2 linked regions of the Danio rerio genome follow. The protein of the gene in region 1 binds, or shares a complex with, the protein of each later gene. Links are inferred from orthologs where the notes say so. Each region holds a gene or a part of one and is shown in the gene's direction. Other genes may lie near its edges. The genes, in order: npr3 and nppc.

Evidence for each region.
Region 2: the proteins of npr3 (region 1) and nppc are in contact, whole or in part, in a crystal structure (PDB 1JDP), measured with the Homo sapiens proteins. The link is inferred for Danio rerio from reciprocal best matches to the Homo sapiens genes NPR3 and NPPC. Residues at the interface, in NP_001191304.1 of Homo sapiens: Asn110, Tyr138, Ala141, Pro142, Arg145, Ala161, Gly163, Phe164, His166, Glu170, Tyr171, Tyr204, Lys208, Leu209, Arg211, Tyr214, Phe215, Leu217, Glu218, His221, Glu222, Gln225, Ile233; in NP_077720.1 of Homo sapiens: Gly109, Cys110, Phe111, Gly112, Leu113, Lys114, Leu115, Asp116, Arg117, Ile118, Gly119, Ser120, Met121, Ser122, Gly123, Leu124, Gly125, Cys126.

What each region holds. Positions count from the first base shown.
Region 1 is NC_133180.1:42,212,785-42,217,150, reverse strand, and holds the start of npr3 (atrial natriuretic peptide receptor 3 precursor), read left to right. Parts: upstream 1-1,464; 5' UTR 1,465-1,794; coding exon 1,795-2,464; intron 2,465-4,366. UniProt on the Homo sapiens protein: Receptor for the natriuretic peptide hormones, binding with similar affinities atrial natriuretic peptide NPPA/ANP, brain natriuretic peptide NPPB/BNP, and C-type natriuretic peptide NPPC/CNP.
Region 2 is NC_133197.1:40,808,414-40,812,187, reverse strand, and holds the end of nppc (C-type natriuretic peptide precursor), read left to right. Parts: intron 1-457; coding exon 458-756; intron 757-2,525; coding exon 2,526-2,526; 3' UTR 2,527-2,965; downstream 2,966-3,774.

The sequences.
Region 1 (4,366 bases):
TATTCTATCCCTTACTCACACTCATACTACGGACAATTTAGCCTACCCAATTCACCTGTACCGCATGTCTTTGGACTGTGGGGGAAACCGGAGCACCCGGAGGAAACCCTCGGGAACATGTGGAGAACATGAAAACTCCACACAGAAACGCCAACTAACCCAGCTGAGGCTCGAACCAGTGACCTTCTTGCTGTGAGGCAACAGCACTACCTACCACGCCACTGCATTGCCCTAATTTGATTGCTGATTTATAGAAAGTAAGGTAGTTGTAATTTTGTAAGGTTATTCAGAACAAGATGTTATTTTGTGCTTTAACTGAAGCAGATTTAGTTTACTAACTTCATCTATGTTAAGCTTATCTGGCACAATCTACATTGTAATAAGCGCTATAGAAATAAAGATGAATTGAATTTATAAGAACTAATATATCGCAAGCTAATAATATGAATGCTAACAAGTCATAAACATGCGTTCCTTAATCTAAAGGGTTAATAACTAAATAAATAAAGTTAATAAAAAGATTCTCCTTCTATATCAACCACCAAAACAACAACAAACAAACAAACAGGGGGAGGGGAGGGTCAAAAATGTTGACTTGTTCACTCATTTAGTCCACAATACAGATACGTATGATTTTAGATCATCTAAAGTATGTATGATTGCTTTTGTTACTGTGAAGTGTGATGTTTCTGATGTAATTCTGATGTAATTAAACTGTGATTCAGTAATATCTTGCTGCATATGTCCACAGTTGGCGTTTGATGAATTGCATCTGGTGCAAAATACTATGGCCAGATTTCTAACGTGAAAATGAAGCATGGGTTTCACACTTCTTTGCTGGATGTCTTTGAAAATATGTATGACGTATATGGCCTTAGTCATACTTGCCCACTAATACACATCTGTGGCCTTTAGTTTACATATTCCCCCTTGATATCAGACTCATCTTGCAGTAAACTTTCTTTTAGGCTTCAAGAGCCTTGTCAATAACTCCAATTTTGTGAAGTTTCTAGTTTTTCTCTGTTTCTAGTTTGCTCTTTTGTTGCTCATTTTAAAATTTAAACTTTGTATTTTGCAGCTTTTATTGCTAATTAAACAGATGCTTTCCTTTTATTGTTGGGTTAATGTTTGTTGCATTGAATAGTATGCAATCGCATAATTAATAATTAACAGAAATGTCATATTGCACAACTCTGCATCAGGACGTTTTTGTTTTAAATGTGTTTCATAGTTTAATAATTACAAAATCACGTAATATTATATGAGCATCACTAATTAGCTGAAAGCGTGATGTGAGGACTGTACCTTGACCGCTTGATCCAAACTGAAGTTGCTGACTGTCATGGTTTGCAGCACTGTCGCTTTAAGGAGGGGGCGGGAAGCGCAGTAATGACGCAGGAATAATAATGAAAGGATGCTTGAAAATTCCTCCTAGACTGCAGCATGTGTGGTGACCAGCCGAGCCGCACACTTCACACATCCTAACAAGAGTAATTACACAGGCAAGCGGAGAGTTAGACAGAGACCCAGAGAAGACTCCAAACAGGGGAAGAGAAAGAGAGAGAGAGAAGGGCTCTGGACACACTTGCAGGAGAGAGACACACACGACACAACTCACTCATAAACTGAAAGAGTGGGATTGTACCACACTAAGTTCAATTAAGGATACGTCTTAATTTATATAGCAATCAACTTTGGAGAGAAGGCAAAAGAGAGAGAGGGAGAGAGAGAAACTTTCAACAGCTTTGACAGAAAAAGACAAACTGTCAGTTACTTCGTTCATTGGTGTTAAAGATGTCATGTTTCATGCCACTCTGTCTGTCCATTTGGGCAGTGCTCATGGTGCCTGGCAGGACAAGTGCACTGAATGACAACATCGAAGTGATGGTCATGTTGCCTCGCAACAACACATACCTGTTCTCGTACACGAGAGTTTTTCCGGCTATTGAGTACGCGAAAAAAGCCCTCAGAGAAGCAGACGCGTATGCGGGACTGAGATTCAATGTGCGCTTTGAGAACTCCGCGTGCGGGATGGACGCTCTCTACGCGCTCGTGGACCGGCAGAAAGACGAGCGTCCCGACCTGGTCCTCGGTCCGGTGTGCGAGTACGCGGCTTCGTCGGTCACGAGGGTGGCATCGCACTGGAACATCCCGGTGATCTCGGCAGGTGCTCTGGCCACCGGCTTCAACAGCAAAACCCCCGAGTACTCTCATCTGACACGAATCGCACCAACATACCTGAAGATGGCTGAGACCTTTCAGGCGATATTCGGACATTTCGGCTGGAGAACCGCGTATTTGATTTACGACGATGATAAAGATGAGAGAAACTGTTACTTTACGATGGAGGGAGTTTTTACGGTGCTCTCTGAGTACCACATCTCAACAGATTTTGCCGTGTTGAACTCCAACGAGGAGAGAGTAGACCCCGACGGGATCATCACCTCCGTCTACGGGAGCGAAGGTAAAGTCCGTCATTAGTTCCCGTGTCATGGCAAGCCGCATTAACATTTATTTCTTACGAACCTTTTTGTTCAGTTACTTTTTTGATAGATATTCGCATTTAACACTGGTAACCTTACTGTATGTAGACTATTAAATAGGTTACTTAGTTGTACATAATAATTATATTGCATGTTTTGTACAATAAATTATTTGGAGATGCAAGATCTGTTTGATATCAACCACTTCATACAATCAAACAGCTTCATACAGCGGTTGCTGGAACCTCTTAGTTTTAAAAGTGTTGACTATTCAGATTTGTTTCTATCCCATATAGTCTGAATATTAGTTCAAATAAATCAAATGAAATGGCTTGCCATAAAAAATAAAAAAAAAGTTTATTTTGGTATTTGTTAAAAAAACAATCTGGCAGATAATCTTCTTTCTAGTAGGTGTTTATCTTCACAAGTGGAATAGATGACACCTTGTGGAGCATTTTACATTTCATTTACCAGCCTAGACCCTAACTACTAAACTACACCAGTGGTAGTAATCCACATTGATAGGAATAAATCAATATCTCCTTTCCATTGCAAATGAATGATGTATTAGAAACATGGGAGTGGGTGTGGGTCCTGGGATCAAATCTGTCATAGAACCTCTAAGATATTCAAAGCAGAGTAGTATTTTTCCTTTTCTTTGACATTTTACATTCCTGGCTACTCGTCAAACACTATTAAGGGTAACTACCTGACCTGTAGAGAATATTAGCTTGAAAACCATTCTGAAAAATCAGTGTAGTCAGATATTTTTTTTACCAGGAGCTTGTTTTCTGCAGTATGCTGTGACTCAACTCGAGTATTTGCAGGTCAAGAGGGTGGATTTTGCAAAGTATTGCCCCGGGTCAACACATTTCCTAATGTTATTAGGCCACTTTTGTTATTAAACTGGAAATTATGTGTTTCTCTAAGTGTTTTTTTTTACATTACATGATAATTCATGAAAAGGAACTCCAACACATGTTAGGGAAGGTTAGATTTAGAAAATATAGAAAGATGTCAGAAGTGGCTATATAAGTGGTGTTTTAATCCCTCTGTGATCTCCTTGGGGTTCCCGTCAATACAGACAGGCAAGAGGTCAGTTGAAAAGAAAAAAAGCTTGTGGAAAAAATGATCAGAATTTTGACAGACGGTCAACACTGAGCAAGAGCTGTTGGAATTTTGGGGAGCAATTGTAGGCTTTAGCACTCCTCTAGACATCCTCCAGCACTTTTTAACAGCTTGTCTCATGGCGAGTAAAGTCATGCGCTGTCTGCCTGGCTGATTCTTAATAACCAGAGAGGATACACCCTCCCCGGAGCTCACTGCTACTATTGCTGTTGGACACATTGTGGCGCTAAAAGATATGCCTGCTGTCAAAACTATGAACTGTCTGCTGTTTTAGCCTGCTCTCAAACATCATATCCGTCTGCCCCAAATCTGTGGCATTTCACAGTAAGTCTGACTGTGCACCTCCTTACTGATCCTGTTTCATAAACAGTGCATTTCTCACATTCCTAGCAAGGATGTTGTCGATTTTAGAAAATATACAGATATGCCTCAATACAGGGGCCCTGCACAAGGCCTAGTCCCCTGTATCGCTTTTCTAAGACAGTCCCGTGCGCTGAAACGAACATCTTAGGTTTCTTAAGCTAAAGCATATTGCCTGAACGCTGGTCATTAAAGGAATGTTCCACCAATTCTCAAAATGTCAGTATGGAATGACTGAAACGGGGTAGGAGGTTAATGCTGTCTTGAGGCTGTTTTGACACCAACAATGTCAGGGTTACAGCTCTCGAGGCCTTTTTATATCATTCTTTCCCTTTTCAACTAGTTCACAGCAGCTAGAGGTCCTCAACATGTTGTGATCCCCAGCAGCAGCTGTA
Region 2 (3,774 bases), on another chromosome or scaffold:
AACAATTGGGTTAAATGGTGTAATTTAAATGTAATTGAAAACCTCATGTTGGGTCAAATGTGGACAAACCCAACCATTTAAAATGGATTTAAATAAAATAAAAATATTTAAAAATAAGTTAACCTAAAATTGGGTCAAATATGGACAAAATCAACTGTTGGGTTAAAAAGTGTTCATTAAATTTTATTGACAAAATACCCCCGACATTGGGTCAGCTGTGGGCAAACCCAACTGTAGGGTTAAAAGTGTTAAGATTAAAAAAATTAATCCAGTGTTGGGTCGAATATGGATAAACCTAACCAAATTGTTTTAATTGTTAAATTTAGTTAAAAAAACAACCCAACTTTGGGTTAAGACATGTGTCAGAGTGTATAGAGTGAATCCAGAGTCATTATGAAGTGTCTGTGTGTCTGGTGAGTGTGCGCGTGCTGACGCTCTGTGTGTGTGTTTGTCTCAGTCCCTCAGGGTGCTGCTGGGAGAGGAGCTGTCTGAGTTCCTGGAGGCTGAGGACAGTCAGCGGAGGCTGGAGAACAGGGTGCGTCTGCTGCGGGACATCCGGACGGACACTCGGGCACGGGGCCCCTGGGCGCGGATCATGAACGAACAGCAAGGGACCCGCAGACACAGAGCCGGATCTAAGAAAGGCGGAGCAACAGCCCGGAGCGGCTGCTTCGGACACAAGATGGACAGGATAGGGACCATGAGCGGGATGGGCTGCCAGCCGTCCCACTACCACTCCATTAACAACCTCTCATGGTGAGCAGATCAACACACGGTCACATGACCACCGAAATCACACCGCAGATCATGACCTTTACATTCATGTAATCTCATTTGAACATCTCAGGATGATCTGCTGTGAAGGTGGACTATTCAGAGACCAATACATGTTTCACATTGTTTACAGACCAAGATTTTAGCTTCTGGCACGATTAAAACCATTGTTTGCAATTGGCACAACTATAGCAGCCGGCCATGTGTAGTGACCCTGTGGAGCTCCAGACCAACAGTTTAGTGGAAAGTGCACAGTTATTTATTGGGCAGCTGTGGTTTTATGGTTTATTAGCACCCAGACGTCTCTTTCAGACAGCTTTCTCTTAGTTTAATCATCTCTTGACAGATGTAGTTCTTCTCTTTAGTGACTTTTATAATGTTGTGTATATTGCAATATTTAAGGCAAACCTGTTCTAATTAAAGCTTCACATTCTCCTCTTACTGTTGAAATGAAGAGCAGCGAAGATCAGCCCAAAATTCAACCACACTGTAAAAAAAAATCTGTAATATTACGGTTTATTTTTGGCAGCTGGGGTGCCGGAAATTAGTTTTTTAAATAATGGCATTAAATTGCAAAAATTTACTGTAAAAAAAAATGGATATTACATTACAAAAATTTACAGTGAAATAACAGACAATTAATTAAAATAATTTACAGTAAAATAACAGACATTAAATTACAGAAATTTACCATAAAATAACAGACATTAAATTACAGAAATTTACCGTAAAATAACGGGTATTACATTAAAGAAATATACCGTAAAATAACAGACATTTAATTAAAATAACTTACAGTAAAATAACGGACATTAAATTACAGAAATTTACCATCAAATAACAGACATTAAATTACAGAAATTTACCGTAAAATAACGAATATTACATTGAAGAAATATACCGTAAAATAAAGGATATTAAATTACAGAAATTTACCATAAAAAATGGATATTACATTACATTACAGAAATTTACTGTAAAATAACATACATTAAATTACAGAAATTTACCAGAAAATAATGAATATTACATTATAGAAATTTACAGTAAAATAACGAATATTAGATTAAAAAAATTTACTGTAAAATAATTGATATTATATTACAGAAATTTACCAGAAATGTCAATTTTTTTTGGGGGGGGGGGGGGTTACATTTTTTTTACAGTGTATGAAACCTCCAAAACTAAATTGGCTAAAAATACTGCCAGGTTCCCACCATACGTGATTGATTCAAATTCAGTACGTTCATGACAAACGCATTGTGTATTCTGTGTCGTTGTCACGTTTGCATTGACGACTTGCATTTTACTCATTTTACTAACGTATTCAGTTTAAATGGGGAACTATTAAATTCTAGATTACGAAGCTTATGAATAAATGTCATATGAGGAATCAAGAATAAAATTAAACAACATCTGTCTCTTTAGTTTTATTACTAAAAGTTTGAATCACACAAAATCTGCAGAAAATTACTCTTGTTCGAGCCCCTCCCCCAGAGACAGTCTATAGTGACCGCTGATTGGCTCCTGTACTAGAAGGCGGGACTTCATTCTTCATATTGACCGTTACACTTTTCCCCATTCAAAACTATACAGGTGACACGTCTTGTGTATTCTAGAGTCTTTGATTAACGTGCATCACAGTGTGTTTGTGTTTTCATGTGGACGGAGATTTATTAACAATGAAAGCAGGGAGAACTCGTGTACGTGTGGAAGTGACCTAATATGTGTGAATCTGCTCTTTCTTTCAGAGCATCACAGACGTCATCGAGTGCGGATATGACAAACTGAGCTGCTTCTCTATGAGGGAAAAAAGGCAAAAAACTGAGACTAATGGTACGAAGAACCACTAGTGGACGATAAGACGGACAAAAATCATTCAAACAAACAAACAAACATATGTATAAAGAAACACTCACGGCGGACCATGACGAGGATGAGGAAAGCTGTATATTGCTGCTGCTGCTGCTGCTGCTGCTGTACATTCATGTATTTCATTCTGGCATAAATGTATTTATGTTTTAAAAACTATTTATATGTTTATAAAAGAGATATTTATAAATATCAGTTTTATTTATGTAACATTGAAATGAATGCAAAATGCAGGTCAATTCTGTTTGTAACTATTTTGTCTCTAATAGTTGTAAATGTTTTAAGTATCATTAAAAAATGCACAAACGCAACAAACGAAGCAGAATTCTCCAATCTGTACAATTCACCAGACTAAAGAGCAGACTATCTATCTATCTATCTATCTATCTATCTATCTATCTATCTATCTATCTGTCTGTCTGTCTGTCTGTCTGTCTATCTATCTATCTATCTATCTATCTATCTATATATCTATGTCTATCTATCTATCTATCTATCTATCTATCTATCTATCTATCTATCTATCTATCTATCTGTCTGTCTGTCTGTCTGTGTCTGTCTGTCTGTCTGTCTGTCTATCTAACTATCTATATATCTATGTCTATCTATCTATCTATCTATCTATCTATCTATCTATCTATCTATCTATCTATCTATCTATCTATCTATCTATCTATCTATCTATCTATCTATCTATCTATCTATCTATCTATCTATCTATCTATCTATCTATCTAATTTGTCTGTCTGTCTGTCTGTCCATCCATCTATCTGTTTATCTGCATGGTGAATGCTATCTGTTTTCTTCCTACTGGACACAAGAGGGCGCCGTCGGACATAAAATCCAGGGGAAAAGATTTTTCAGGACAGTTTGTCTCATATTGCTTAGTTGTTTAGTTTTCAAAACAATAAGTTTAGATCTCTGAACATTTAGCTTGTTGCTCACTTCAGAGTGGCGTTTCTTAATTATTTAAGTGAATTGCAAATGCTTTGGCACATGTGCAAACAGTAAGTGCAATTGCCTGGAGTTTGGACAAAAAGTAATGGCATATGACTGGATGATCACCACTGATGAGTCAAATAAACCAGCCTAGGCAGGTTGGCTGGTTTTAGCTGGTCGACCAGCCTG